Linked DNA regions of Drosophila melanogaster. The protein of the gene in region 2 interacts with the protein of the main gene of each other region in a pairwise test. Each region holds a gene or a part of one and is shown on either strand. Other genes may lie near its edges.

Region 1 (15,374 bases), on a different chromosome or scaffold from region 2:
CCTGGGGCGTTAGTGGTGCTGGGGATAATGGCTGCTGCTGCTGCTGCTGTTGCTCAACGTAGCTGGTGCTCAGCTGCGATTCTCCAGTTGCAGCTGCAGCGCTGTTGTTGTTGCTAGCCGCTCCAACAGCTGAATCACCACCGTTTTGATAGTTGGCATAACCTCCTGCCCCTGGCGGCACGTCCATAGCGTCCTCGCGCTGCTTGAGCTGCTGCAACGTTTGATGCAATTGCATCGCCGCCGTGCGCGCATAGTCCATGTTGTTGGGGTCACCGGCGGGATTTGGTGAACTGGCAGCATTGGCATTGACGCTATCGAAGAGCTGCTGCTGCTGCTGTTGCTGCTGGGCAAGCAAATTGGGAGATAAGAACTGTTGCATGATGGTGGTGGCATGAAAAGAAACGAGCGAAGGACAGACACAAATATATTGTTAGCGGTGTCTGTTGTCAAGTTTCTTAAGACTAATAAAGAGTTCGTTCGCAGAACATTTCTACGATTTCAATATTTATTTGAATTTAAGTAAACAACTGCTACTGAAAACAATTAACCGTATGGAAGTGTTAAGTAAACAGGGGATTTACTTACCTCGACTGTGGCATTAGGACTTCGGGTTACCGAGGAACTGCGACTCACTAATTAAACGAAATAATGGAAAATTAGTAACTCAATCCGAGCATTTCTCCTTTAGAAACTAACCATTGCGAAGAGCCACGGGCAATGTCTTGGTCAGGGCGTTGCCAACTATTGTTTGTTGTTGTTGCTGCTGCTGCTGCTGTTGCTGCTGCTGCTCGGCATAGTTCCAGTTGGCATCGGTCGAGTTGGCCTCCAAATGATTCTCGTTCAGCTTCTGGGTGGGTGGCAGAATCATACTTTGGGTGGTCTTGTGGGCCGGAGCCTCAGATCCAGCGCCAACACCTGCTGCGCCGCCATCCGTTGTTGCGGCGTGCGCCTCGGAAGTAGAAGAGCCAGTCTTTTCGTTGTTATTACCGCCATTACCCACACTCGAGTGATCCAGGTAATCCATGCACATCCAACGGCCTCGTTTAAACGGCTCCGTGGACTCAATTTTGACCACCTTGAACCGCTCACTGCGGTGCTGCGTCTCCTTGATGTCGTCCTTCTTCTTGGTGCCGCCCGGTGTGACGGCACCGCTCACCACATTGATAATGTTATCCGATACATTGACCTGGACATTCTGGATCGTCTGGCCCAACGAAGGGGCGATGGGATCCACCACGACAAGGCCGTATTGCGAGCTAGTCGGTATCACCGGTGCATTGGTGCTGAGGGCATTGTTGGCATAGTACACCTCCTCCTTGGAGAACGTATCTTCCGACATGGAGGGCGTCTCGTTCTCCAGGTCCGTTATCCGACTATTGTCATCCGTGTGAGATTCGTCCAGATCATCGGCCGACTCGTCTCCAGTATCGCCGGCAGCATTCAACTTGGGATGGCCCACCGTCACCGAGGTGATCTCGAATGAGGAAGTCGTCTTTGGTTTGCGATTGGTGCCACCAGCGGCGGTCCCCGAGGAGCTTCCACTGCCGCCGCCACCACCACCACCAGCTGAAGCTGATCCACCGGCAACGGTTAACGAAGCGTGTCCTTGGCTAAGGCTAGTCTGTTGCTGCTGCTGCTGCTGGTGGTTGTGATGCTGATGGTGGTGATGATGATGATGATGGTGGTGATGTGGCTGATGATGATGACTGCCTGCTGCAGCGGTTGTGCCAGTAGCAGCTGACGTAGCTGCTCCGCCCACCGAACGTGCTCCATTATTGTTGGGCGAACTGGCCTTGGTGAAGCTGTTGTTGCTGCTGCTACTGCTGTTGTTACTGCTCACTAGCTGCTGCTGTTGCTGCTGCGGTGTCGAATTGCTGCCACCACTGCTGCTGCTGGACTTGGGTGCCAGCGATGTGGAGGTGGATGTGGCCAGGCTGGAGTTACTACTGGCCCTGGACACCGTTGTGGGTGTCGCTCCAGCTGCCACGCGACTCATCATGTTCAAACGCAAACTTTCGCTGGTGGTGCGCTGCAAAGCCGAATTGCTGCCGGCATTGTTGCTATTCTGATAGATGTTGCTGGGTGGATAGCACACAGCAAAGTGATGGTTGCTGGTCAGTGAGCTGACCTTGGTCAGCTTGCGTATGTTACCGCCAGTGCCACCGATAGTGACTCCACGGGATGGTGTCAGCATCGAGTTCCGACGGACCGGATTGTTGCCAGGTCCGGCATTTGAGGAAGCCGGCTTGAACTTGGCATTCACCGTGCGATCGAACATGTTGCTGATGCTGTTGCGATGCTGTTGCTGCTGCTGCTGCGATGTTCCGCTGGTTGTGGCTGCAACTGTTGCTGCTGCTGCTGCTACTGTGGCTGCTGCGGCTGATTGCTGGCGTCGGAGCAAGGGCAGTGCTTCCTGGGAATTTTCAGGGGATGAGGCCTGCGAGTTAGTGGGCGATTGGTTAGCTAAGACCGATGTGGTTGAAGCGGCCGTGACTGATGTGGTGGCTAGTGGTTGCTGATGTTGCTGGTGTTGCTGTTGCTGTTGCTGCTGATGTTGCTGTTGGTGACCGGAATCTTTGCTGGCCGCACTTTGATTCTCGGCCATAATCGAATTGGATTTCAGCGTGCGCAAAGTCTTTAGCAAATAATCCAGGATTGCTAACGATTCTTGGATTATTTGGGGCCACGGAAAAAGTTATAAACTATACCAACTTGCGGTTAGTTTCGATTTCTTAGTTATCCACTACGGACTATGATGATAGTTATTAGACTGTTTAATTAAGTTCTGTCAGTTGTTGCATTAGCTGCTGCACGCCTGCCAATTCGAATGCGATTGTTGCACTGGCCAACCGACGACGCCGATGCATAATAGCGGTTACCGTTGCGTTGTCAGGTGCCTCTGACTGCCAACTGATCCAATCTAATCCGTAACCGTCCCTTCTATAGGGTTCCGTTCTGTTCCGATCCGATCCGATCCGATACGATACGATACGATACGATCCGATCCGAGGACTAGCGACGTTCGCGACCCGACGCGACGCAATTTGAACCGACCGACCGACGATGGGTAATGCGAAACTCTTGACTATTACTACTATTTTTCCTTTATTAATTTGTGTATGTTATTTGTGTTGGGTGAGTTGATTTAGTTAGGCTGTTAAATTACAATTTATTGGGGGCTAGGTGGTCTCTTTTTTTTGTGTTGCGGGCGGCTGGTGGGCGGTTATAATTTGACTTTCCGCGTTTGGTTTGTTGATGCTGCAGCGGCATCAACAACAACTACAACAGTGTGTGGCACACCGACAACAACAACAACAGCACTGGTCACAGGCGAGAGCGCCATCTAGCGCTTGACTTTGTTTAGCGGGCGTTTCAATTTTCGCCAACAACACCGACGCACACACACTAACACATAAGCAGCACTCACACACACACACACGAACACGGATCTATCACGTATACGCACACGCGCGCAGCCTCTCACACACACCGGTGCATGTGTACAGCACAGCTGTTAATCGAATCAATTCGATTTGATTCAGTTTCTACAGTTGGATGATTCGTTTTCGAAAGTAGGCTTGTTGCTTAAACGTGGTTTCAAAACTTGGTATCACACTTAAAATATTTCTTAGAAATTATGAAAATATTTTGGTGATCTTGGTTAACTTGGAATTTCTATTCATCTACTTCTATATTCATAAATTTGTTGCACTTCTCCACTTTGTCGTCACACGGTTACGCATAGGTTTTCAATTTGTTGGTTTAATTCAGCTATATCTTTATCGTAGAATTAATCAATTTCATCGGTTCAGTTTTACTAGCACATTGCAGTAAATTGTAGAAATGAAATCCTGTAAAATGCCAGAGCAGAAAAAGAAAATACCATTAGAATTCATTTTAAATTAAATACGAGAGCAAGAGGTACGAAATTCGATCAAGAACAAACATGAATATTATTTTCCATTATTTGTTTATTAAATTAAAAGCACACAAAACGACGCCAAGCACAAAGATCGCGAAGGGGGTGGGGCTTAAGTGGAAAATGAAAGAGGTAAATAATTGCACAGAGCAACACGACGTATACGTAATATATAAAAGAAAAAAAAAATTGTCATGAGTTCGTTTGAGCACTTAAAAACATGAAATTATGACGAAAAGTAAATAATCTTTCGCTCAATAAAGTGTACGTTTCAATTCATTTGAAATTATCGCCAGGAATAGGCGAAACTTAAGTTTTAAATGGGTAAGATGAGCCTGACTTCTACCTGAAGGGTGCATAAATCTAGTGGCCGAGCTAAATAAACTAATCAAAGAGCTCAAATTCTACATTTTAGTATTCCCTTGAAGTTAAACCCAACCGGCTACTGTGTATTTATTGGCTGATTTTCTATAAGTATCTAGTTAAATTTCATAACTGCGTAGTTCATGTTCGTTTATTATCATCATGATGACGATGTTGATGATGCTTTTGTGTGCTTTTCATTATTTTTTGTTTCGCCTCAGTTTTTTTTTTTTATTATTGATTTCATTGAGTTGTCGGTGTTGTGGGGGTACGTCGTAGTTTTGTTGAATTAGTTAAGTGCTACATTAGAGGAAGGAGATTTTAACGGAGGGGGTTTCCTTCCGAACCAGTGAGAAAAAAGAAGCCAAATGTCTGTTTGTTTGTTAACACTTTTTTTTAGTCTCCTTTCATTTTTAGCTGATTGTCTTATTATCTTTTGCATTTGCAGTTGAATATTCAAATATTTATTTGCTCTCGGCATTGATTTTTTCGCCCTCGCTCATTATTTAATCGATTTCGTTTACGGAAATCAGAAATGAGTCCGCTAACCAAAGAGATAGAGATAAAAAAGGCAACCCACAAAATGATTCGCGAAAAAAAATGTTGCCGAAAAAGTTTTGCAAACATTTTCGGGCACACGCGCCGTTTTTTCCGCACTTGTGTTGGTTAATAACCGTAAGCTTTTCGACGATCATTCATAAATTGCGTGGACTGTTTAGAAGAGAGTGTACTTGTGTGTTTAAGTAAAGTGGGCCCTCGATAAGGATTCTTCATAATTAACCATCGTTTTTTAAATTTTAGAAAATTTGAATTAATTTTTTTTTGGTCTTAAGCAAAAATAAGAAGATCAAATTGAATATTCAATATTGAGTCATTAAAGCAATATCTAAATATACAAAACAATATCTTTCATACAACGGTTTTGTTTAGAGGGACATTTTGTTGACCTGAATACTAAACTTATATAATAATTCATATATAGACTTTTGAGTGATTACTGTAGTGGCGTTTGAACTCTGCGTTTGCCCTGCCAGAAGGCAAAGTCAAGACCTTGACGCTGCTCTTTTATTCTTTCTCTCTCGCTTAATTTTGTTTTATTTCTTTTGCCTAATCGAGTTATAAACGACGCAAAAAAATCTGATTATTCTGTGGCTAGGAGAGTCGAAAAAAAGAGACAACCAACAAAACCAGCAAACCAGAAGAACAACTGAATAACAAAAAATCAGTTATAGGTCAACATTGGTCGTAGCACTCTCTCAAGGTGGGTATTTTTGTTTTTGTTTTTTTTTTTTAGTTTTTTGGCCTGCTGTTTGTTGGGGGTTTAAGAGTCTATTGGCCTTGTTCTTGAGCCACGCAGGTGTTGGCCCAAAGCTTCTTCTTCAACTTAAGTTGATTTCGAATATAATTTGAGGGAGTAAAGTTGTGGTAATTGGGCATCAGTTGTTATGAATGAAAACCAATAGCTCTTTAGAATGGATAATTAATCTAGACGAAATTGGCTCAATTAGAGAATTTAATCCATTGAAAAAGCGCACACCCAAACCGAACCAGAATACCCAATTCATCAAGAACCACTGGAAGTGGAGTATCCATTCTTGTAACTCATCTTCTGGACAATAAACTTGGGACCCCTTTTAACCCCCCGGCAGTCAATAATCAAAGTATCGCTGTAGGCACCAGATTTCGCACACAAACAAATCGGCGAATGGAAAGGAGGAGGAGGAGGACTTCTGCCTCTGCTCACTGCCTTCCTCAATAGCAAAAGCAACAACAAGGAGATGGGGTGAAAAGAAAATGAGAACTAAAAGTGCAGACAAGAAGCAAGCAACAGAAGAAGAACTAATTGCAACGACAAAGCATAAAATCGATGGCAAGCCAACAACAACAAATGTAATGAAAAGCAACTACAACAGATAGTACAGAAAGAGGCAAGCGCGAGCGAGAGAGAGTGAGTGTGAGCGAGCGAATGCGCGTTGAGAAAATTGCAATCGGAGAGCGGGAGCTGCAAGAGAGCGAGAGCAGCCTGTTGGCCCCTCCGCAACCGCATCTACATCCACATGCTCCTTCCTACCAACGTGGGCGCCTACAAGTGGGCGGGACGGGGTGGGGGCCGCATACCAAACAAACCGCAAAAGGAGAGCGGCTGCTCGCTCGCACTCTCCCGCTCTCGGACAGCTGCCGGTAATCAATATTGATGATGATAGCAGCAGCCGAAGAAGATGAAAAGCAAAAGGAAAGGTGTCCCGATTGTTCGCAGTGCATCAAAGGTAAGCCAGGATATATTGCCAATACAAAATACGGTAATAAAATGCACTGCTGCTTTCTCAGCTAAACCATCAAAACCTTATCAAGCCCTACTAAACTTTAAGACTATCGGTAAAAACAAAAACGAAAATGGGATATAACAAAAAAGGCCTTTAGGAGCAAAAAATAGAAACAAAAAATAAATGGGTTATCCTCTAAAAAATCCTCTAAAAATTTATACCTTGCTGACAGATATAAAACTGAACTTTAAGGACACCAGGGTGTTAAATAATGCATAATGAAAATTCAACCGAGTTAATAACTTTTCAATCAGTGACTTTCCTTTCCTGTCTTTCACCCACAGGCACTTCCCACCTTTTCTTCGCTCTTTTCCTTTCCGCAAGGAAATGATTCACAATGCAAAAAAAATGGCAAGGGAAAAGGAAAAGAAAAACGAAGGCGTTGTAGGAGGAAGTAAAAGAACCCGAAAGAGCGAGAGAGAGCGATGTATGCAGAGAGAAGGCAATGAAAATGTTTATCAAACGAGAAAAGAGCAGCGACGAAGATGAGGAGGAGGCGGCTGCAAAAGGAACAACAACAAGCTAGAGATTACAATGACAATGCATCCATGAGATACTCAGATACAATTGAAATCGAATATAATTTCTCAATTGAATTGAGTCGCAGAATGTAAATAAAGCAACAAGACATCAAAGAAAATTGGTGCAAATAGGTGTTAAATGTACCGAAAGTGACAATACCCTAGATAAAATAATTAGTTATTTTTTTATGATGGTTTCATTCAAAAAGTTAACCAGTTGTTGAAAGATTGGTACTTTTCCGCTAGCAATCAACCCCGAAATTCCTACATTACAAAAAAAAATGAACTGATTGAATTCTGGTTTGGTCGACGTGACTGTCTGCACACGCATTTCTTTTATGCAGATAGATCCCTGTTCAAGAAACCCCAGCTTATTTCTTGCAACTTCTTGATACCGATACCTATGAAAGTAACTCGCAAAACAATCCAAACCTTTCTGAGTTTGTGCCATCGGTTGTATCAAAGAGTTGGCAGAAATCTGAAGTGTATCCGATTCCTAAACGCAAATATATCGTCCAGTTATAGTTACAAAATGGTGCATGGTAAGCAGAAAAATTTGCCACGCGGCTTGACAAGAAAACCGATCTGGCCTGAGGTTTATTTTGTTTTGCTTTGAAATCGGAGATGCGTTAAAAGGGATGATCATTATGATCGTGAAGATATTGTAGATTGGTTCAAGGGCATTCAAAGCTAATCAGATTTATTCATTTCAAGTTTGTATAAAAAGGGTACTCATACAGAGTGAATTTCATATTTTAGTTCATAAACTAGAAATTAATATTCTCAGAAATGCTGGTTGGTTTTTGCAAATCTACTATTATTGCACACCGCTGTTATTAAATACGTATCCATAATTCTAAACACTTGTGTGTAATTCGAGTTACCGTTAACCAAACAGAACACACAATTTTTTATATGAATTTCTACTAAAAATCACATATGAAAAAAAAATTACCCCATAATATCGGATGGCAAATAAGCAGAAAATTGCAAAATGGCACAAAAACAAAACTAACACTTGACTAAACAATCAAGGCGAAGCAGAACAGAAAATAAACAACAATGCCGGGCCAGCTGACATTATAAACAAAGGTAAATGGCACATAAAATACAGTAGAAAACGAAGGAATATTGGAGTTAATCAAATGCTTGGCCAGCTGTTTTGGAGAAATGGGAATGGAAAGAGGAAATGGGAAAAATCTAAGGTACAAAGTGCAAGCTGCAACAACAACTGAGCGAAAGTGAAGAAGCAGACCAAAAGGATGGGCACACACGCTGACACACACACACACACACACACCAACAATTACGCGACTGTTTTGCACTTTTGTTTCATTGAATTTCTCTGATTTTTCCTTCGTTTTGAAACATGTTTCGATTTGCTTTGCTTTTTTATTGGTTACTTTCTGATCGATTTGTTGCACTAAGAGGCAAAGGCCTCTCTTTTACATTTTTACCACACTTACGCGTATGTCAAACAATTTAAAATTACTTGTTTCTTGGCGTAAAACAATAAACTTAAAACAAGCGAACGGCCACGAATTTAATTTGGATGGGATATTAGTTTTTCGTTGCGTTTTGCTAATCGGACAAAAGGAAGGTAAATGACAGTTTTGACACTTGGCTGTGCACAAGCAAAAAGCGGAGAGCACTGCGAGAGAGTCGATTCGGAGAGCGAAAAAATGAGTGAGAGAGAGATGGAGAGAGAGAGAGAGGAATTAAATAAACGAAAAAGCGTGCATGAAAAATTGGCGAAAAAAGTTTTGTGCAAAAAAAAAAAGCGAAACGCCGAACTGCGGAAAGCAAACAATCGAATTCAACATTTTTTGTGCAAATTTTAACGCCAGGGAATTTTTTTCTTTTTAGTTTTCCTGGCAAAGGCGGCTCACACCCACACATACACAAACTCTCTCTCTATGTCTCTCTTTCGCTGCCACTCTCTTCAAATCTGCAGAGAGTCGGCAATCCACAATTTTTCGTTCTTTCGATTTTGCACATCTCTCCGCTTGTCACTTTACTTTTCGCAGCTCTTTGGCTTTTTGCAAATAAATTAATTTTTCAGCGCACATATAAATTTTCCATCAGTGCCATTTGTGCTCCGTTTTCTTATTCAATTTACACGCACACACAGCCGCAGCAGCAGCGCACACACATCTCTACATCTGCATGCCAGCTCGCTCACACACACAGCGACGCACACGTCACACTCATACACTCACACGCACGCACATACACAGTTTTTTCTTCGATTTTGCGCTAGCTCTCGCAGCCTTTTTTCGCTTTTCCTCGTCGTTTTCAAGGGCGCCGCGAGTTAAGCGATTTTGCAATACGTTCGCGGCGCGTTCGATTTGCGTTCTTTTACTTTTTATCCGTCTGCAGACAGCGAAAAAGACCAACAACTTGCCTTGCGTTTTTGTCCCAACTCAAAATGCCAATAAAAATATAATATCAAATAATAATACCAAATACTGAATACGGGATTTTTGGCACATATAGCGGTCACACTATACTGTTCAAAACTGATATTTTAGCATTTTTTGGTTTGGTTCTGTGCTAAATACAACTATCGATTGTTAAGTTCTACACGCAGGCGATTGTCGTGCGATATACGATATCGTTTACATATCGTTTAGAAATCCCTAGCGCAACATTGGCGCTCGTTTTTCCATTATTCGAAAATGAATTTAACATAAAATTAACATATACTTTAGAACTAAGTTATACTAAGGCGAGTGGCACAACTCTACTTTTATTTGATTGTTTTAGGAATCATTTTTGTATATAATGGGCTTATATAATGTCGATAATAAGTTCTGGTCAAAAATCGGACTATTATAAATTTTAATTATATTTATATTTAATATCATATCATCTATAATTATCATATAATATAGTTAAATTTTTTATTAGCAAAATAACTGCAGTAGTTACTCTTTTTGTGTCGAAATCACTGAAAAAATCGTTAAACAGATCCCGCGTCGAAGTACCGAACCAACAATTTTACATTTACATATATTTTACATTGGTTCGCTTCTTTGCTTTGATTTAGAAGCGAATTTCAACGAATCTAAGCGAATTCAAACGACTAAAATTCGATTGGTAAATCTTTATAAAAATATATGTAACAAATAATTTGAATCATTAAGAAAATTAATACCTTAACAATGCTTAAATTTGTATACTTTACTTGTTTTTATAAACAAAATAGATACATAGAACTGGCGCTCAGTTTTCTATTTTTTCTATTAAATTTTTCTATTGATGTTTATTAAAGCTTAAAAATAAACATAAATTATTGCCAGTAATTATGTAACTGCTTTTGAGCATTTCCTGTTCTAGCGCTAAGACTTCTCAAGAAAGTTTTGTGGAGTAACAGGTATCTGATAGTCGCACTGCTGCTTGTTACCTTCTTGCATTTATTTAACTCTTTGGTTCTTCTTTTAATTAAGTACCTTGCTGATACTCTGCTTGCTAACTTTAATCAGTTAAGACTTTAAATATATTCAACTCTTACCAACTTTCTTAAGCTGGCTAACGGGTATCTAATAGTCACACCATTCGACTAAGACATTCCTTTTTTCTTTTTTTTTTCGTCCTGATGGAGTTCAGTGAAGCGTTCTGATTTTCTTGTCAAAGCGGAAAGAAATCACGCTAATGATCGACGCACCCTCCACCAATTGAAACTCCACTAAGGAGTTCTATATATGTACATATGCATGTATATACAATTATATATATATTTATATAGTATATCGCAACTGACCACTTCGTTCGCAACGGAACGTGTTCGGGATTAGAATTAATTCCACTGACCAGCCCCGCCCCGCCCCGCCCACTTTCACACAGCGACTGCAGGCGACACCCTCGCATTTGGCCAACGTCTCATTTAAATTGCAGCAGGCAGGAAAAACATTTGGCAAACATTTTTCGCCCCCCAAAAACTGCCCCTTTTTTCGCTTGTGGCATTCAAAGGTTTGACGATTTGCCGTACATGTTTGGTGCGTAATTAGTGCAGACCGATGCGTTGCACCCTTGTGAAATGCCAAAAGTCCTGCGATCCACTCAATCGTGCTCACTGGCATTTTTTCCTTTTCTTTAACAATTTCCATTTGATTGCATTCGTGGGGAAGAAAATGCTGGCTCCGGCATTCATTGGGGTGACCAACGTTGGCGGGCTTAACTGTCATTTCCATGAGATGCCCATTTGGTCAAGCACACACTGAGCGAAAAAGGTTAAAAAATTACATATGTATATTTTTTTGAAATTGTTTTAATTTTTCTGTATTGAAAAATAGATAATATATAATAACTCATGTTATTTCAGATTATGATAAAACGAAAATAAGTTCTAGATTCTTTTTTGTGACTGTGAATTTTTCAATTACACAGTTTACATAGTTACATAGTATATTGCTTTGCCTGTGAAGTTTTCATTTCTACGATTTGTGATTCGGAGTATAAATATTTTTTTCTTCTGTGTAGGTGGAAATACACAACTCCGTTGGCAGCATACACATCCCCAACGCATATGCAAAACTTTTGCGTTTCATTTGAATTTCCCTCTCTGCGTATGCCACATCGTATCCTCGCATCCTCGCACTTTCTTCTCATTTCGCTGCCCGTAATTATGAAGATGAATGTCCTTATTGCTTTTATATCCCTTTTGCGTGTATGTGAGTGCTTTCAGTATATGTGGTTGAGTTTAGCCGCCGACATTCTCTATTAATAATGCTTTCAGTCACACTCTGCATACAAGTTCGTTTGAATTTGTTGCCATTTGGAACGTTGGCAGTTGCCTGGGTACTGCACAGTGGGGCAGAAATGTTATTAATGTTGTAATGTAAATGTAATGTTCTTAATTTTATCTTAATTTAATTTGGTTTTTATAATTTTTCTGAATAGATACTACTGGTTAACTTCAAATATAATATAGTAGGAAATTATCCCTAAGTTGTTTGTGGTATTGGACTTGATGGGAGGTATTTCCTCTTATTTCTCTTACTTTCAAAAAATCTGGGATAAAATGGCTTTTGTCCCACTGTGCCGCAGGAGCAGCGCGTGCAACGTGCCACGCCTGCCTGCCTCCCACGCATCTCGTTTTCTTTCGTTTCGCCGACGGCCGTGGCAATAATAAAGGAAAATCCGACAGGATGCTAATGCGTATTTAGTTATTTAGTTTGTGTGTGTGTGTGTGTGTGTGGGAGAGGGGGAGGGGAGGCTAAAGGACACAGGACTCGCCACATTTATGTTTGTTTTACGCGCGTGTGTGTGTGTGGGGGATGCAAAAAATATTTGCATATTATCGATTTTAGTTGCCGATGGAGTGGGAAATAGTGTACAGAGAAAACATAGCATCCGAAAAAAAGGAAGAAATATCCTTAAAGCACATCAAACAGGCTCATCTTACATTTATAGAAACTTAAGGACATTTAAGTAGCTTAGCATAGAACTTAAACCGATCAATTTGAGTTTCGAATGGCGAACGAAATTCGAAACTGAATACAAAACGTGCTGGGCACACACCAAAATGGCCGAGGTCCTTTAAGGACCATAAGCGGATTTCAACAATTTAAGCAAAACATTTTTTTTTTAGAGCGCAAAATGTCAAACGTAAAGGCGAAAGCGTCCAATTAGATGGCTCAAAAACTTTCCAATCAACCCTCACGAATTTGTGCTGCCGGGGGATGAGAGAGTCCTTACCAATATCCTGCGGCCAGTGCAAGAAAGAAATTATAAACAGTAATGAATTGTAAATTGAGTTGATATTGTAAGAAAATTAGTCAGTGTAAAGAAATGCAATTTTCGTAGAAAAACTACAAATCAAGCTATTAAAATAAGCAAAAAAATTAAATACGTGCAGCATAATCAACAAAAAACAAATATTTTTTCTTTCAAAACATATATATATATAATCCAATTCCCTGATTCCCGACAAGTAAACAAAAAACATATACGCGTATAAGCATTAATAACAATCCAATAGGATTTACAATGCATTGCAAATGTCATAAATATCAATATGAGCGACAGTTGACTATCTGCGTAGCTTTTTTAGATATAAATTTAATTTTAATGGCCGCAACGTCTAGGCAGGATAACATGAATGTCCTATTTAAAGGATTAGCCCATTGAGTTATGAGCCAAAAAAAGCCGAATTGCCACATTGCCACATAAAATATGTCTGCGTGAATTTGCTTTTTAAGTTAATTTTATTTTATGTCCCTTTGGCCAGCGGATTGTCCGTTGCGAAACGCGTTCCGTTTTTTTAATGGTGATTTATCTGGAAAGCGAAAGTGAAGGAGTTTACGGGGGCGTAGGCCTTTTGGGGATCCAGCGATAGCTTTTTTATGGCCAAATCCAGGCTGACAAATGGCCAAAGGACTTGGCCATTAGAGGCTGTTCAATCGCATTCGAATCTAACGTGTTACATATTAATTGCCCATAATTTATGACTAGCATTATGGAATATAACAACTTTTCCTGATTTGTGGAGCTCCCTTTCATTTTCAATGGTTTTCATTTTGCAGAACTAAATTAGGCGCACAAAGAAAAAAAACAATTTCAAAGCTCATTAAATGTTTCGTTTGCTCAGTATTTCTTTTTTTTTTGCCCAGTAGATCTCGTAGTGGATAAGTCTGGTCGGAAATTATGGCTAAATATTTTTGGCTATTTGGGGTTGTTTACCAGCCACACTTTTTCACCATACCATCCTATGGATATCTATCATCTGATTTTGGTAGGGGTTGACGGCTCTTGAGGGCGTGCACATAATCATAAGTGTCGCAATTGTTGAATGATTGCAACACGTAAGGCGCAACAAATTGTGCTTCATTGGGATCAAAATGAAATAGTTCTTTTGGATTTGATTCAAAATAATACAATTTTTTGAATAATTTTTAGCCTTAAAAATGCTACTAGTTAACCCATTGATGAACTAAATCTTACTTTAATTCTTCTTCTAATTAAAGTTGCGAAAGGTATTTAATGCATTGTGGCATACCTACTTGGATTCCCCTGAGAGACATACTCATCATCCGCTTCCGCATCGTATAAGTAATTTCCCTTTGACAGCCCGCCGCCTTCGCATTATGTTTTTATCTCGACACTTGGCAGAAATCTATTAGATTCTGACTCAGAGATCTGAGGACTCAATGCCCCCATCGCCAGTGCCAGGACACACTGCATCAATCCTGGCAGTGGCCATGCACGTCGCCTGCATTCGTAAGTCTGCGCATTTGTTTTTCCCTTTGTGCTGGGGTCTTTCATTCCGGTCTTCGTCTACATATGCACAATTAATATTCAAGCAACCGTTTCACCCCCCCCCCCCCCAAAGGACCTTCCGCAGGACCCATCTCCGATCTACACGGATTTGCCGGGCCTTCCATTGGCTTCACGCCCCGCCATTTGATGGGGTGCGAATTGCGATTCAGCAGGGTGCGATGCGACTTAACCTCAGTGTCCAAGGGAAGAAACTACTGGGGGATTGGAGTTTGGATTTGGTTTCGGGTCTGCAACATCCAGGGTCGCATTAAGTGTAGACATTATTCATTTTTGATGATGAATTTCCATGTCTCGCATGTCTAGGGCTTTTCCCTTGCCCATCGTCCAGTAATAAGTAATAAGTGCCGAGCGGCGCAAAAAGAGATGAGGGAAAAAAAGTGGAATATATATATATATACAATATAACCAAGTGGGGGAGGCACATGAAAAAACTTTTAGTTCTGTTGCTGTTTGGCATACAAATGAGTTAAACTTTGAATGGCAGTTGCCGGTGGGTTGAGGTCGGCCGGGGGGAGGGAGAACTTTCAGGGAAATGACCACATTTTTTTCTTTTGGCTTTCTTTATCCGGAGATCGTGACGATGATGGGGAGCTGCATAAGTGAATTCCGGCAAGTACACATATTGCGGTCTATATTTGGATTTTATTGCCAATAAACGAAAAAAATTAAGAGCCAGATAAATTATTTTGTTTCATTTCAAATTATTTGGAAACTCGCGTTTCAAAGATATTCTAATCTACAACTACAACTTAATAAGTTCATTCACGCATTGCATGTGGTATTCCTAAAATTGCATTTTGTTCTTTTTCATTGCGTAACAAGTGTAAGATGCTGTAAATCAATATATCTTTAAAATAATTGTATCTTAAGAATGTTAAGAATGTTTTTCAACATACCTTATGACTTGATAAATTATTAAATTATTAAAACTATAATAGTTGAAACAAATATAAAAATGTCGTCCCA
Region 2 (17,147 bases):
CGCATCCAGTTGCCAGTCAGTCGTGTACATCACCTCCGCATGGCGTCCATCGGTGCGGATGTCGATGCGTAATGTGGTCACCTCGAAGTTCTCCTTGTCATTGATTCTAGGAGTGATGGTGCCGTGCTTTTCGCCGTTTGCGTTTATCATTCGCACCTCCTCCTTCTCAAACATCTGCTTCATCTGATCCGGAGTGGCGGTGGTGGCCAAGTCGATGTCCTTCGGTGGAATGCCCATCAGAATGTCGCGCACAGCTCCGCCGGCGATCCGCAGCTCGTAGTCGTACTTCTTAAAGAGCGCCACAAGGTCATTCAGCTCGGGGGTAAATATGCTTTTGAACTCAGGAGTTGCCACCTTCCGGAATGCCGGGTTTGTGCGCATCCTAGGTGGTTTTCCCAGCTGGGCAATCAATTCTGGAGAGACGCCTCGCGAGCAAACCATACTATTGGCCATCGACTTTAGCCAGCGATTCTGGGGGCGACCGTTGAATAACAGGAAGGCACGTGTGGTCAACTTTACGAGGAGGCTTGGTCCATTCATGTAAGATATTCGAGCCCGCCCGGCAAAACTTCTAAGCAATGTCGAAAAATTTAAGATCTAATGTTTAGACTCGAAAGTTTTGTGGTCAAATGTGATGTATACCCTGTAGTGCTGTAGTCGTATGTCTTACTCGTTCTTTGTGAGAGAAAAGTAAGTTATAATAATAATAATTCTGATGTTTTCCGTCAAAGATATTGACAGAAGATATTGACAGAGACATACCGTTATCATTAAAAAGTAAATATACTTTTATTCATAATATTTTTTTTGAGTGTGGTATTAATATTATTTATATATATTTAATATTCAACATGAAAATATAAAAATACGAATAAAAAAATTAAACTATGGCGGTAAAGGCAGTGGTAATAAGTAGCTAAAAATTTAAGCCGATGTACAGGGTAGTCTAAAGTCGAGATCCCCGATGTCTGTGATATTCCTTTTTTAGCGGATTAATGTGTAATGTAAAATTCGGGCACACTTACGGAACCTGTTACTTTGTTTACCTACTTGCTTGGAAATTTTGAACTCAATGCCACCGCGGTTGCCGTTCGGACAAGTCAGAAACTTATTGATTCAGGGACACATAATTCGAAGGATGAGCTCCCAACACAAGGTGTACGTAACCAGGCCGGATGTGGATGACAGCGGTCTGGAGCTGCTGCGCAAGAGGTTTGTTTTTGTTGTTGTAACCGGCTATTTAGTTATTAGCATAGACACTAATTTCGACATGCACGATTTTGCTCAGCTGCCAAGTGAGTACCTGGCATGAGACCAATCCGGTGCCCCGCTCCGAGCTTATCCGCGTCGTGGCCGGAAAAGATGCCCTTTACTGCGCTCTAACGGACAAGGTTGACAAGGAAGTCTTGGATGCTGCCGGTCCTCAGTTGAAGTGCGTGGCAACTATTTCGGTGGGTTACGATCACATCGACGTGGAGGAGTGCAGGAAACGTGGAATTCGAGTGGGCTTCACACCGGACGTCCTAACGGATGCCACGGCAGAATTAACGCTTGCCCTGCTTCTGGCCACCAACCGCCGACTATTCGAGGCCAACAAGCAGGTTTACAACGGCGGCTGGAAGTCGTGGGCCCCCATGTGGATGTGCGGCCAGGGACTGAAGGGCTCCCGGGTCGGCCTGCTGGGCTTCGGCCGCATCGGCCAAGAGATAGCGGCACGCATTGTGCCATTTAAGCCGACGGAGATAACATACACAACACGATCACTGCGCCCCAAGGAGGCGGCTGCTGTGAATGCCCGGCACGTGGACTTTGACGAGATGCTTCGCGAGTCGGACTTAATCGTAGTCTGTTGCGCCCTAACCCCGGAGACTAAGGAAATCTTCAATGCCACTGCCTTTCAGAAGATGAAGCCCAACTGCATTCTTATCAACACGGCGCGTGGTGGCGTTGTAGACCAGAAGGCCCTGTACGAGGCACTGAAAACCAAACGAATTCTAGCAGCTGGTCTGGATGTAACGACGCCGGAGCCATTGCCAATCGACGATCCTCTTCTGAAACTGGATAATGTGGTTATTCTCCCCCACATTGGCAGCGCTGACATCGAAACGCGCAAGGAAATGTCCCGGATTACAGCCAGAAATATTCTTGCTGCCTTAGCTGGCGATAAAATGGTAGCCGAAGTAGAGCTGTAAGCCGTGTAATCTCAGCGTACAATGAATTTTTTCCACATCTTTTTAAAAACATCTGTTTGTAATTATGTACAATGTTCTAATTAAATATTTCGTACTTTCAAAGGTATTTTAAAGGTACTGAAATTATTGAAACACTTGTATTACGCCGATGACAGTGCTCGCAATGAACTGATCCGTAAATGGTCGTGGCCACTCAGAATCGAAATTTTTGTGTTATTTGCGTGGGGTATACTCCCAATCTTTTGATCATTAACAAACAAAATTATATTCCTTTATAATGTATGTGGGTGCGGTCAAGACCTTGGTTTTATGTATTATCGCCTAGAACAGTGAGTTTATAAAATTATAGACCTTATCTTATTAAGTAATTTAAAAATGTGTATGAGCAAACAAAACAATTAAACTGCAACTAGTCCTCGCCAGGCGGCAGGGGCTGGTTAAGATCACTGCCTATGGGGGGAGGAACTGGTAGTGGTACTAGAGACGTCAGTACGGGCACTGTGGAAATGACACTAATTTCTGATGGATCCGGTGCCTCTTTTTTAATATGCTCGGCACTGATGTAACCGCCGCTTTCGTCCTGAAAAGAAGATACTCGTATGTAGTAGCTGAACGTCTTCGATATTGGTTCGGTATTTGAGTTACTATTATTTCATTTAAGACTAAATCAAAAAATGCATAGTTACCGTCACGAACACATCAACTGATTTCCCGGAGATGATGTCCAGAACCTGCTGGGTTATACCACTACCATTCATTGGTTCATCCTGCATGCTCTCCGCGTATTCCGACAATGCTGGCCTTAAATCGGGGCACTGCTGCAGTGCGTCCACCAGCTGGGCGGGAGGAAGGTGCAGCAGGATCGGCATTGACTGCGGTTTCAGGCGCTGCACGGTCTTTAAAAAGCCCTCCCAGATTACTTTTTGCCGCCAGACCTGCTTGATTATCAGACGCTGCAACAAGTTCATTACAAAGTTTGCCAGACGCGGGTACAGAGTTAGACTCTGAATTGTTGTGCGCATCATCAGAGTAGGCAGCGGAGTAACCTCTACAAGCTGTTGCAGCACAGCCATAAGTACCTCCTGTGTGTACAGATCTCTTTCAGCCAAACATAGGGATGTAGCCTTAACGATGGCTTTAATATCGCAGACACTCGTATCGATGGTGTGCAAAGCCACGAGAATATCAGTGGGGGTCATGGCCATCGTCTGATGCGCGAATTCGGCACCGATACCAAGCAATCGATTGAAAACCTCCTTGACCACAGCGGGATTAAGTTTAATCAGCTTCGGCAGAACGGAAATTAGCTCGGATCGGGTTAAGCCACTTAGCACGGGTATCATCACGCGCACATCCTTGACCTTGTTCTGGTAGAGATCCCGAACCCGCCGAACCAATTCTTCATGGGGGGATGGCACTCGCTCTGTCAGTATGTAAATTATACGGATCACTAAGGTCTCCATACCCTTAGGACAATCCTCGATTAGTTGCAGCAACGTCGGGCTTTCTACACCCATCTTTTTTATGGGAATATCTAGACTGCGCAAGATCGTGCGTTTCAGTTCGGCAGATGTAGAAACAAACACTTGACAAATTTGCTGTAAGTAAACTATCAGGGGAAGAGAATATTAAGAAATTGATTTAATAGTTTTTTTCTTCTTTAATACGGGACAGCAACAACTTACCTTCCGGTTTATAGGGCAGCAGGGTAAAGGCCAAACCAAAGCACACCTTGGTAGTGTCTTCCCGCCAATCAGGCTCCTCGGTTGGTCGACCAAAGTCCTGCGAGAAAACAGCTGCCGGCGGAGATTCCTGTTCGATAAATTTAAGCCACTCCAGAGCGAATTCGTCTATTCGAGCCGGTAGTATTTTGTGTACATGGTACAGACTGACCAGGTGGGCCTGTGCCAGATCCCGCAGATCCAGTCGCTCATGCACAGAAAAGTTGAGCAACACTCTAACGAAACGATTCTTTCGCGGCGGCCTAAGCACTGCAAGGTCCTTGATTAGCTCCAGGCCGTGCTGGGAGAACTCGTCGTCCAGGCTTAATTGAACTAGATGTCCAATTGAGACTTCCGGAAGAATGGGTGCTTCTAGATATACTCGACGAATCAAAATAATCTTATCCTTGTGATCGCAACGCTCTCCAATGCCGAAGATAAGCTTATTCAGCAACTCGTTGTAGGCGTGATCGGGTCTGTTCTCTGTCTTAACATAAGTGTGCCTTGTAAATCCTTGCAGCAGAGAGTACTCCTCAAAGAGCCAGGAAAATGCCAAATCGATACGCTGTTTTATATCCTCCAGGATGAACTCCATGATGCCGTAACGTACGTTATCGGGAAAGGTGGCAGCAATCACGGTGACCAGCTTACGGCGCTTTGATGACACTCCTCCCTTAATGCATTGCCGCTCCGAGTTGAGGATGCGACGCACTGCATCAGTTAGGAACTTCTCTTTTAAGTTGCGTGGCAGAGGCTTGGTGATCTCCTGCAGCTTCAGCGTCTTGGCGCGCTCCTTCATCTTTTCAATAACAGTCTGCTCACCCTTGGCGCGCTCCATGGTCTCGCGCAGCTTCTTGGTTGCTTCCTCCTTACGCTGAAACTCTTCCTCACTCAGTTTTTGAACAGCATCCTCGTCCACTTCCATTGCAGTTAGTGTTGATTCAATCGCTTGCACTTTCTTAACCCGCATTGGCGGCTCTCGACTGAAGGTTGCGGCACCTGGGCCTAGGCGCTTTTCAGATAGTTGTTCGCCAAAAAATCTGGAGATATTGGTTACCTGCTGCTGAATAGACATTTCGCGAATGGGTGTATATTCCTGAAGGAACTTTTGTGGCACCTCAGTGGGCAGACTGGGCAGGAACTCCAGCACCAGGGTCACAACAGTTTCAGGATTACGGAAATGCTCTGCCAGAAACTTTTCGTTAACTCGAGTAGACTTCTGTTTCTGTCGTTCCAATTCCTCAGTGTCTAGCTCCATTTCTCGCTGCTGCTGATCCTGCTGCTCACAGGCCAAGCGCGCACGCTTTGCAAGACTTTGCGCAGCATTTTCGAGGATGCGTTTTTGTCTACGAGCCATTTCCTGTTTGTCCATTTTGGGAATAAGCTTCTGGATCTCATTTGTGGAGGACCCCAGATCAACTAACATTCCTCGGATAGTGCTTGCAAACTCAAAGGCACCGCGGTTCTTCAGCAATGTCTGCAACTGCATCTTAAGGCTCTTACGCACGGAGCTTACTTGCGAGTCAGTGAGGGTGGGCGGCAGGTTGGCATTCAGCTGCTTAAAGGCTTCCACCACGGCGCCCATGAAAATGGGTCGCATTTTGGCAATTGTACACAAGCTGCTTGTGCAGGCAATCAAGTTCACTGAGGAAATATGCGTTGTTCCGTGGAACTGAAGCAAGATATCTAAAATATTGTTGCCCTCCTCTTGCAACTTTTCACGGCGGAATAGTGTGCAGTGATCGGGGACATCTGCCAGCGAGAAGTCTCCATCTCGTTTCAGACTGTCCTCGTCAGCAAAGCTCTGCAGAACCACGACGCCCTCCAAGAACTTAATGGCATTTGTACGTATGCCGTCGTTTTCATTGTCGATCATGTCCAGTATTTGCGCCTTGATTAAGCTGAGGATGTTCCACGCCTGCTCCGCACTGTCGCCGGGCTCCATGAGGCTGCACAAGTACTGCAATCCATTCTTGTAGATGCTACCGCAGGCTTGGATCACTCTTTTGATTACCTGAGCCGAGTTATCCCTAAGCAGCATAGACACGACGTTAATGACATGGGGCAGTAACTCCACCTTCACTTTACTGGGATGGAAAATATAAATCGTTTCAGCAAGAAGTTAGATCCTTTGATGGAAATCCTTACCAAACTTGCTCTACGAAGGCGACTACCTGCTTGCGAACCTCCATGTTTGAGTCGTGGGCCAAAGACAGCACGGACTCCAGGAATTCTTCGGCCAGCTCCGCGCACGATCCAAGCACAGTCTCCTGCACCTTAGCCAGCAGTTCGCACTTTGTCGAAGGCGATGCGATGACCAGCTCATTGCACCAATCGACCACCTGAATGGGAAAATATATGGTACAATACAGCAGTCCGGACTGTCTTGTCTGATTAAGATTTGTGTTCTACCTTAGCTCTTGCCGTAGCTGTCTTCTCGTCTGTGAACAGATTGGCCGTCTCCGAGACAAACTGGCTGCGTCCAATTATGCTATCCATGTTTGGTTAATTGATGCAGATTTTGCCTAAATCTGCGATACTTCGGATATTTTTAAGAGCTGCCGGCACGGATGGCAAGGTGTTATCGGTACCATTGAGAAACTATCGAAAACGGTTCTATGATGTTGGTAATTCTGCATATTTCCGGACCATCTAGCTATTTTTTGCCAGCTCTTAATGTGTTCAAAAGAAAAAGAATATTTTACTAAAAACTTGGCTTATAATCAAATGAACCGCCTGCAAACTAATTTTCCTTGCTCGTTACCGTATAAAAAATTAATAAATCACATAAATTAAGCCATTTTTGGCATATCTCAGCTTAACGCGTTATTATCGATGAGCATGCCGCAGTTGCGCTGGCCGAGCGATATGCGGGGGTGACTATCGATAAGCCAGAGGCATCGATTTGCTCACATTTCTTGGGTGTTTTAGCGTGAAAAAAACGCCTAAATAAACGAATCGGCAGCGTGTCAGGCCAGAAAGTGCAACAAACGGATCGCAGTTCGCGACGCAGTCGAGGATTGGAACAGAAGACGCCGTCGAAGGTGCCGAAAAACGTCCCAGCAACCGCCAGCCGTCGCAGCGGAGTGTTTACTGGGCGAGGGGTGCAGTGGATGAGCTGTGTGGGCGCGTGCGTGTGTATGTGTGCGCCAGTGAGTGGGGCAGAGGCAGCGGCAGAGGAGCAGCGGCGGATGTAGCTCGTTGCCCGGACCCCGTAGTGGATACCACGAAAAGCTAGCGCAAACGTAGGCAGTCCAACAAAGAAAATAAACACTGGAAACCGAAGACGACGAGGCCTTCTGGAACTGGAACAGCACTGCTCAACAGCCGCAGCCGCGTCGGTGACCGCACCCTAATGTCAAATAGCCAAGCGAATGCCGGCATCAGCGGTAGCACGGTAGCGGATGAACCCATCCAGCACCACCCTTCCTTGGCGGCCGGCCCCGTAAGTGCATCCTGCCCAGCAGCGACCCCGCCGTCGCAGTCGACGCAGCAGCCCCCGCCGCACATAGTTAGTGCCTCAACAGCTGATGCGGGCAGCAGCGCTGCGGTCGGCGTCGGCGTCGTAGCTGGCAGCGAGGGCGTCAATCTGGACTCGTCGCCACGCGAGTCCGGGGACGATTCGGAGGATGAGAGCGAGATTTTGGAGGAGTCGCCATGTGGACGCTGGCTGAAGCGACGCGAGGAGGTGGATCAGCGTGACGTACCCGGTATTGACTGCGTCCATCTGGCCATGGACACCGAGGAGGGCGTAGAGGTCGTGTGGAATGAGGTGCAATATGCCAGCCTACAGGAGCTGAAGTCGCAGGAGGAGAAGATGCGGCAGGTGTTCGACAATCTGCTGCAGCTGGACCACCAAAACATTGTCAAGTTCCACCGCTACTGGACGGACACGCAGCAGGCCGAGCGACCCAGGGTGGTCTTTATCACCGAGTACATGTCGAGCGGATCGCTGAAACAGTTCCTCAAGCGCACCAAGCGCAACGCCAAGCGGCTACCGCTGGAGTCGTGGCGCCGGTGGTGCACTCAGATTTTGTCCGCACTCAGCTATTTGCATTCCTGCTCGCCGCCCATCATCCACGGCAATTTAACCTGTGATAGCATCTTCATCCAGCACAACGGCCTGGTCAAGATCGGCTCGGTGGTCCCGGACGCGGTCCACTACAGCGTCCGGCGCGGCCGAGAGCGGGAGCGTGAACGCGAACGAGGCGCCCACTACTTCCAGGCGCCCGAGTACGGCGCCGCCGACCAGTTGACCGCCGCCCTCGACATCTACGCCTTCGGGATGTGTGCCCTGGAGATGGCCGCCCTGGAAATCCAGCCCAGTAACAGCGAGTCAACTGCCATCAACGAGGAGACCATCCAGCGCACAATCTTTAGCCTGGAAAACGATCTGCAGCGCGACCTGATACGAAAGTGTCTCAACCCGCAGCCGCAGGACCGACCCAGCGCCAATGATCTGCTCTTTCACCCATTGCTTTTCGAGGTGAGTTTTCAAGTCAATTATCTTGTTCTAAATGCTATAAATTCAAGACCCGCATAACAATTGCCTTGTCAACTAGACCTTGCATTCTAATTCTCGGATCCATCGAGTGAGAGATTTAGTTTAATAAGACACCTGATATTATTAAATTTTATTTTAAGTAAATAATTGAAATCTGAAGATTTGAATAATTATATGATTTAAATGCACCGTTAAATATTTAAGTTCTAAATTTGGTTTTATCCGAATCATATCGTAAATTATCTTAGAATTTAATATATTATATTCATGTGTATATTATATATATATGTATATAAATGGAAGGAGAACTAGTAATCAGTTGATAATTCTACAATCCATTTTGACTGTAGTATATTATTTATTGCTCACAGTCACTTATATCTTAAGTTCAAGTTGTGGTTAATATGTAACTATACATTTTATTTTGATTACTGAGGGTCTGTTGTTTTATTTTCATACCTGTTACTATATTCGTTAAGAGGAAATTAACGGGTAGAAGGAATCGTTTTCAGCCCTATATTGTTAGCGATTCTTCATTAGAATCGTCCACTCCAACGGAAACCCCATAGAACTGCCACGCCGATACTTTGGTCTTATTTGTCTTGTCAATATCCATTGGTATGCCATTTTAAAGTGTGGAAACTTCTCGTTTGCACTTCAACTTGAGTCTGATATTCGAGAAAAACAGTGTAGCGTTCGCTCTTGTTGACTTTAAAATATAAATTTGTACATGGTTCAAATGACATTGCAAGGTATTCTTATAACACTTTTATAAAGGTAATTAACTGAAAAACTCAGTAGTTAATAATCAATTTTTTGCTGCTATTACTACAGGTGCACTCCCTCAAACTGCTGACTGCCCATTGCCTGGTCTTCTCGCCCGCCAACCGCACTATGTTCTCGGAAACCGCCTTCGACGGCCTCATGCAGCGATACTACCAGCCGGACGTGGTTATGGCCCAGCTGCGGCTGGCCGGCGGCCAGGAGCGGCAGTACCGACTCGCAGACGTTTCAGGCGCCGATAAGCTGGAAAAGTTCGTCGAGGACGTGAAGTATGGTGTGTATCCGCTAATTACGTACAGCGGCAAGAAGCCGCCCAACTTCCGTTCCCGGGCCGCCTCCCCGGAACGGGCTGACTCCGTAAAATCGGCCACGCCGGAGCCTGTGGACACGGAGTCGCGGCGCATCGTTAACATGATGTGCAGCGTTAAAATCAAAGAGGATAGCAATGACATAACCATGACAATACTGCTGCGCATGGACGACAAGATGAACCGCCAACTGACATGCCAGGTGAACGAGAACGATACGGCGGCGGATCTCACCAGCGAACTGGTGCGCCTCGGTTTCGTCCACCTCGACGACCAGGACAAGATCCAGGTGCTGCTGGAGGAAACGCTTAAAGCGGGCGTTATGAGCGACGGTGCCGGGGCAGAGAGCTCCGGTGCGGGGGTGACGACCACGGCGACCATGGCGGCCTTGGAGCAGCTGGAGCGCAACTGGTCGATATCCTCGGATGCAGACAAGCAGGGCACTGCCGTGATGTATGTACCGCAGGAGCAGCAGAACGCGGACGGGGACGTCGACGTAGAACACTCGGGCACGACGAGCAATTGAAAGTATCAGCTTAGTATTCAGGGCATGCCGGCGCGTATTGTTTTTATTATATTGGGAAATTACACATTACGATTTTATTAATACTATTATTTGTTATTTTTATATATATACCTATATATATGTGTATATGTATGTATGTATTTGAAATAATATTTATGTATGTATGTATCATAAACGATGTTGAACCAGGCTTCCAGGCTAAAGATTTCGATGACGTGGGACACGCGGCAGACAAAGGTGGGTCGCCTCTCGCGAGCACGATGAACATTCAAAATCGCAGGAACACTTAGCGACATGTCTTAGAGAAACTATAAGTACAGTATAATTCGCTTAGCTGCATCGATAGTTAGCTGCATCGGCAAGATATCTGCATTATTTTTCCATTTTTTTGTGTGAATAGAAAATAGAAAATAGAAAAAAAAAAATTAAGTTAGCTGCATTTTTAAGTTACCTGCATCGAGGCATTGTGCAAAGTACTCGAGGCAGCTAAGCGAATTATACTGTATAACAATAATTTAGCTCGAAATCGTACGCGGAAAGTACCAAACATGGTTCAAAACGATTCGTTTGTTTCCATGCCTGCTAAAAACAATGTTATTAGTCCTTTAGTTTCTTTGGTAAATTTGCTAGGAATTGTTTCGACTCATGTCCCAATTGAAACCTCGATCCACTGCGACACCTCGACACAAACTTTTGAAAAAAGCTGCTAGCGAGCTTGACAAAAACCAAAGCATTCGCTTAGCACAACTCTGAAACGAGCACGAATGGAATTCGCAGCTCCGACTAGCTGCGGCTAGACAAGATTCGAATACGAAAACCCAGACACATTAGATTTCGATAAACGAACATCTGGACGCCAATGTAAGGATCATTTTTTCTAGGACATTATCAAATTTCATAAGCTAGCCATGTCGCGAGAACAAACCCTAAAACCGCTGTGGAATGTATTTAAATGTATTACAAATATAAACAAATACGCAAGGCCACGAAAAATAATAACTAAATTATTAAACTAAAAACTATGAAAACACAAGCAGAGCATGCAACAAAAAAATACACAACAGACATAGCTACACTACTATTAAACAAATAAAGATGGCAACCAGCTGACTAAATACAAAGTCTTTTTCTTTGTTTTCTAAGCTAGTCGAGTTAAATTAGAATAGGGGCAGATAATCAGATTTTAGTTTTCTTTTGATTTATTATTTTCTGAGAATGTGCTAAAGCTATATTGAAATTAAATCCCGTAAGGTGACAAAAAGCCATTTAAGACCCACGGACATATGAATTACTCACCATTTCAAATTTGTTTTTACGAGGTGTACGGATTATGAGCGGAGTCACCCGGTGCTTCAGCTGTCTTAACAGCGGATTAACATTTTATATATCGATGCTAATTGAACTGAACTGTATTCTTTCTTTCGCTCTTGTAATTTTGCGGTCATAGCGATCAGACGTGATTTTTGTATATGAAAAAATAAATGAAGTTAAATAGTGTATATATGATTCTTATTTGCGAACCCCATTACAATGATGTCAAAGCAGTGAGGCATCACAACTATTCATTGGTGGCCCATGAGGGGAACCTTGCTCATAAGAATCATAATTAATAATTGCTAAAAGCTGTTTGGCAATTTTATCTTCGTGGTCGGCTTCATCCAGATAAATCACCGTGCCTACGTTTTCTATCGCGCTCGCTCTCATCACGACAGAGCAGTATACGCAAACATTCGCGCTCGCTCTCATCACGACAGAGCTAAGTCCCGTTGCCCTTCGATTCCGTTAGATTTGCCGGAATCTCTGCCAACTCAAAAAAACAAGACGTCAAAGAAGAACACCGATAACATACGAGCATTTGTGCATATTACATACAGTGGAGCAACGTCAGTATAAACAATGTCGAAATTTGATCAACTGGTGCGAGTTCAAACTGACCGCATTGAGTCTTTGAAGCGCTTGTTCAGTAATGTGAAAAAAGACTCGAGTGCGCGGAAAACGGAAATATATTTCGAAAAACGTTTGAATCAAATCGACGAGTTTAACAAAGAATTTCATCAGGCGCATCACACACTTATATGCATGGCAGACTACGAAGAAAGTGTGTATAAGCAACAAAATACAATCAGCCAATTCGAAGACCTGGGCATGGAAGTTTACTGTTTCGTGGCCGAAGAAAAGAAACGAATTTATCCAGGCACAGTGACGCACAACGAATCAGCTAACTCTACAATAACAACACATGTAGAGGAAGTACGGATACCACTGCCAAAATTACCAGTTCCGAAATTCTCTGGCAACTGCGCGGACTGGCCAAGTTTTCATGATGCATTTTTACGCTTAATTCACAATAATGAGCGTCTGGATAAGATTCAAAGGTTCCATTTTTTAAAGGAAGCATTACCAGTAGGCCTGGACAACGACATTCGCCAAATCGCTTTAACTGAAGCAAACTATGAAGTCGCTTGGACCACACTTCTACAACGATATAACAACCCACGAATTGTGTTCGCCAGCCACATGAACATGCTCTACAACTTACCGAATCTTTCGAAAGAAAAATCTGCTGACATACGGTCTATGGTTAGTACAGTCAACGTCTGCATTGCCGCTTGCAATACCGTCAAGGCGCCACTACAGGGAGGAGATTTTTGGTTGACTCATTATCTAACAACCAAACTACCCAAAGACACTCACACAGCTTGGGAGCATCATCTGGGCAGCAAGATTGACGTTCCTTCATACAAAGATCTGCAACAGTTCCTCAATGATCGACTTGTTACGTTAGACGCTATTGAAAGCCGTAACGCGTGCAGCGGCATGAAACAGTCAAATGAAACTTCAGACGGTACTAAACGCGTGCGTGTGCACAGCGCCCACACCAGGTCGGGTGCTTCCGCGTCCGCTTGCTATCATTGTGGCAACTTACACATACTTCGAAGATGTCCGCAATTTCTTTCAATGGATTGCTACCAACGGAAGGAAGTGGCCAGCAAGGCAAAATTGTGTCTCAATTGCCTGGGAAAATCGCACACACAAGCAAGCTGCCCCAGCAACAAGAATTGTCTTCATTGTGGTCAACGTCATCACACGATGTTACATTTTCCAGCAACACAGCCAACGCTGATACCCTCCTCGACATCATGCCAAAGTTCAGCAGCCAGTTCAGATGCCAAGCCGACTCTACAGTGCATGTCAACTACAACTTCATCTATGACTCATCGAAAGGTACTACTAGCAACAGCTCGGGTTGTACTCAGTAACACACAGACAGGATGCCAGGCCACGGTAAACGCGCTTCTTGACCAAGGATCGGAAGCAACTATCATTTCGGAGCATGCTGTACAGTCTCTCCAGCTCTCCCGAAGCACAACTCGCACTTCAATCACCGGAGTCGGTCAAGATTCAGGACGACGCTGCAAATTCATCGTAAGTTGTTCGGTGCAAACAGCAACTAACCCAAATTTCTCGTTAAAGGTCGACGATGCTTATGTTTTGAACACGTTGACATCACACATGCCAAGTCAAAGTTTTCCAGCAGGAAACTGGAGTCATATCCATGGTCTCATGCTCGCAGACCCCTATTATTATAGATCCAAGCGAATCGATATCATTTTTGGAGCCGACCTTATGGCACAACTCTTGTTACCTGGAACTAAGATTGGCTTGCCAAACGAACCCATAGCGCAGAATACTCAACTCGGATGGGTTCTGTTAGGCAATGTTGGCAACACGCATATTACACGCCACATTCGATGTAATCATGCCATAATAAACTCCGAAGAGCTGCTTAAGGTATTTTGCGAGGTAGAATCAGTTCCAGAACGCCCAAAGCTCTCCAAAGAAGATCAATGGTGCGAGTCTTTCTTTAAGCAGACCCATCAACGTCAACCAGACGGCAGTTATCAAGTCCGTTTGCCATTCAAGAGGAACTTTGACCCCAGTATGACGCTCGGAAAATCTCATCAGATCGCCCTGAACAGATATCTTCAACTCGAAAGGCGCCTTCAAAGGGACCCAGACAAATGGATCAGATACTGCAAAGGAATTGAAGAATATTTTCAACTAGGTCAAATCACGTTGGCAGAGACGAGCGAAAACTCAACCATAACCACGGATTCCTACGGTCGGCATGTTGCATCATGCGTGCTACCACATCATGCAGTTTTCAAAGAAGAAAGCCTCACCACAAAACAACGTATCGTTTTTGACGCATCGGCCCGGACCTCAAATGGCAGATCGTTAAACGATGTACTATGTGTAGGTCCCACGCTGCAAAATGATCTGCCAGCCGTTCTCTTGAATTGGAGACAATATCAGTTTGTTTTCACTGCCGATATACAACGAATGTATCGCTGTATCAATGTCCACCCTGATGACACGCAGTACCAGAGGATTTTATGGCGGGCGGCGGATGGAGTCATCAAACAGCATTGCTTAACTACCGTCACGTTTGGAACAGCGTCTGCACCTTATACAGCTATAAGAGTCATCCATCAAATAGCTGAAGACACACAGACAAAATATCCTATGGCATCCAACGTTCTCAAAAATGAGATATATGTCGACGACATTCTCTCAGGCGATCATTCACAAGAGGCAGCAATACGGAAAAGTTTGCAAACTATGCTAGCTTTAAAATCCTCTGGCATGGAGCTACGAAAATGGGCTAGTAATGACCAGGATCTGATGGCAACGATACCTCTCGAGCATCGATGCAAGCAGACATCCCTCAGTTGGGACAATGCGGACACCATCAAAACACTGGGTATGTACTGGTTGCCCAAGCAAGATTGCTTCACTTATAAATTACTAGCAAATACTCCAGCCGGTATAACAAAACGAGAAATCCTATCGACCATAGCACGTTTATTTGATCCTCTTGGATTAATCGCTCCAGTTGTAATTTCAGCAAAGATTATATTGAAAGAAATCACACTAGCGAAGCAATATCGCGAGGACGGATCGAGTACCTCACTGGATTGGGATGAGCCAGTTCCCAACACCATTGCCGTCAAATGGCAACAATTTCGACAGCAACTAATGAAGGTTAAGACGATCAAAATACCACGCAGCGTCAAATTTACGCCACTATTTAGTAGTGAGATACAACTGCACACCTTTTGCGATGGATCCTCCAGTGCTTACGCAGCAGCAGTGTATGCACGCACCCAACAGTCTGATGGGACTTTCTATACAACGCTCATCGTCGCAAAATCAAAAATTTCGCCAACCAAGCCGTTAACAATACCGCGCACTGAGCTATGCGGTGCAGTATTAGCTACCAAACTCACCAAATGGGTGCTGGAGAATAACCGATGGACCAATGCACATATATCTACCTTTTACTGGACCGATGCTACCATTGTTCTGCACTGGATTAAAGGAGACATTACTAGGTGGAAAACGTTTGTAGCCAACCGAGTGTCTTACATTCTCGACCACACCTCAGCGGCTCAGTGGCACCACATAGACACATCGGAAAACCCAGCAGATTGCGCAACCAGAGGCTTACCACCGAGCCAAATACCTGATATTTGGTGGCATGGCCCATCCTGGCTATGCAAACCACACAATATTTGGCCAAACACGCAATCACAATTGCTCAATCCAGAAGAACGGGATCTGGAGGCCAAATCCATAAAAATTAGAGCCTTCACTACCTTGTCAGACACAAAGGATTCTATTATTGACCGATTCTCGTCGTATACAAAACTGCTACGTGTCACGGCATACATGTTACGATTCTGCCACAATGCTCATGCTCGAGCACAACGAAGTCACGGATCACTCTCTCCTGACGAGCTGGATGAGGCCCTGTGCTGCATAGCTCGCCTTGCACAATCCGATACATTTCACGCCGACATCCAAGCGCTTAAAAGGAACAAGCCGTTACCACCCCGTAGCACACTTTCAAATCTTACACCGTTTCTTGACAACAATATCTTGAGGATTCGTGGCCGTCTCAAGCATTCAAATCTCTCTTTTTCTCGAAAACATCCAATTATATTACCTCATTGTCACCTATTTACAGATTTGGTAATTCAACACTCTCATCAGCTCACTCTACATGGCGGCGCTCAATTAACACTGGCTCACATACGCTACAAATTCTGGATTCCCAGAGGCAGACAAGCAGTCAGGCGAATCATCCGGAAATGCGTCACATGTTTTAAGGTAGCTCCAGTCGTAGCGAAGCAATTGATGGGTGACTTGCCATTACATCGAGTCAACCCCCCAACTCGTCCGTTCATTACAACAGGAGTTGACTACACTGGTGCGATTGAACTTCAAGCCGCGCGTGTACGAGGATCAACCACCTACAAAGGCTATGTAGCCATTTTTATATGCTTAGCAACCAAGGCGGTCCACTTGGAAGCCGTCACTGGACTTTCAACAGAGCACTTCCTGCAAGCATTTACGCGATTCACCGGACGTCGAGGACAAGTTCAACATATGTATAGTGATAACGGCACAAATTTTGTTGGCGCGAGTACATCGCTTAACCAGCCCATCACTTGCAAGGCAGCCCTAAACGAATCGACATGTCAACATGGGACAAGGTGGCATTTCACACCTCCATATTCTCCCAATTTTGGTGGCATCTGGGAGGCAAACGTGAAAGCAATGAAGCATCATCTTAAACGGATCGTCGGCAGCCACAAGCAGACGTATGAGGAGCTTACTACAGTTTTGATCAGGATTGAAGCATGTTTGAACTCACGTCCACTTTGCCCGCTAACCGCCGACCCTGACGATTTAGAAGTACTAACTCCAGCACATTTCTTAATTGGTGACGCACTACTGGCACCGCCACAAGGTCGGCCGAATAATAAGCCTTTGCGTGAACTATTTCTCGCACAACAACACATGACGCGACAATTCTGGTCTCAATGGTCTCGTGATTGGTTATCACACTTGCAAACTCGGCCAAAGTGGTGCCAAATCAAAGATAATCTTAACATCAACGACTTAGTCATTATAAAGGATGATAATCTACCACCAGCTAAATGGACTATAGGCCGAGTCGTCGAACTGCACCCTGGATCGGACTCGCTAGTCAGAGTGGTTACATTAAAGACGAAATCTGGCATTCAAAAGAGGTCAATCACAAAG

The links.
Region 1: the proteins of Madm (region 2) and bun interact in a two-hybrid assay, tested with the Drosophila melanogaster proteins (one study listed by BioGRID).

What each region holds. Positions count from the first base shown.
Region 1 is NT_033779.5:12,537,050-12,552,423, forward strand, and holds the start of bun (bunched), read right to left. Parts: upstream 9,563-15,374; 5' UTR 9,361-9,562; exon of another isoform or gene 8,594-9,360; intron 7,295-8,593; exon of another isoform or gene 6,891-7,294; intron 6,550-6,890; exon of another isoform or gene 6,127-6,549; intron 3,854-6,126; exon of another isoform or gene 3,852-3,853; 5' UTR 3,467-3,851; exon of another isoform or gene 2,606-3,466; coding exon of another isoform or gene 2,279-2,605; coding exon 697-2,278; intron 633-696; coding exon 586-632; intron 371-585; coding exon 1-370. UniProt on the Drosophila melanogaster protein: Probable transcription factor required for peripheral nervous system morphogenesis, eye development and oogenesis.
Region 2 is NT_033777.3:5,735,717-5,752,863, forward strand, and holds Madm (MLF1-adaptor molecule), read left to right. Parts: upstream 1-6,793; 5' UTR 6,794-7,268; coding exon 7,269-8,399; intron 8,400-9,251; coding exon 9,252-10,034; 3' UTR 10,035-11,422; downstream 11,423-17,147. Other genes in the region: CG2100 (uncharacterized protein), read right to left, coding at 1-540; CG1236 (uncharacterized protein), read left to right, coding at 1,073-1,212, 1,289-2,192; Sym (symplekin), read right to left, coding at 2,602-2,772, 2,879-3,801, 3,878-6,000, 6,062-6,255, 6,326-6,412. UniProt on the Drosophila melanogaster protein: May play a role in subcellular trafficking between the endoplasmic reticulum and Golgi apparatus.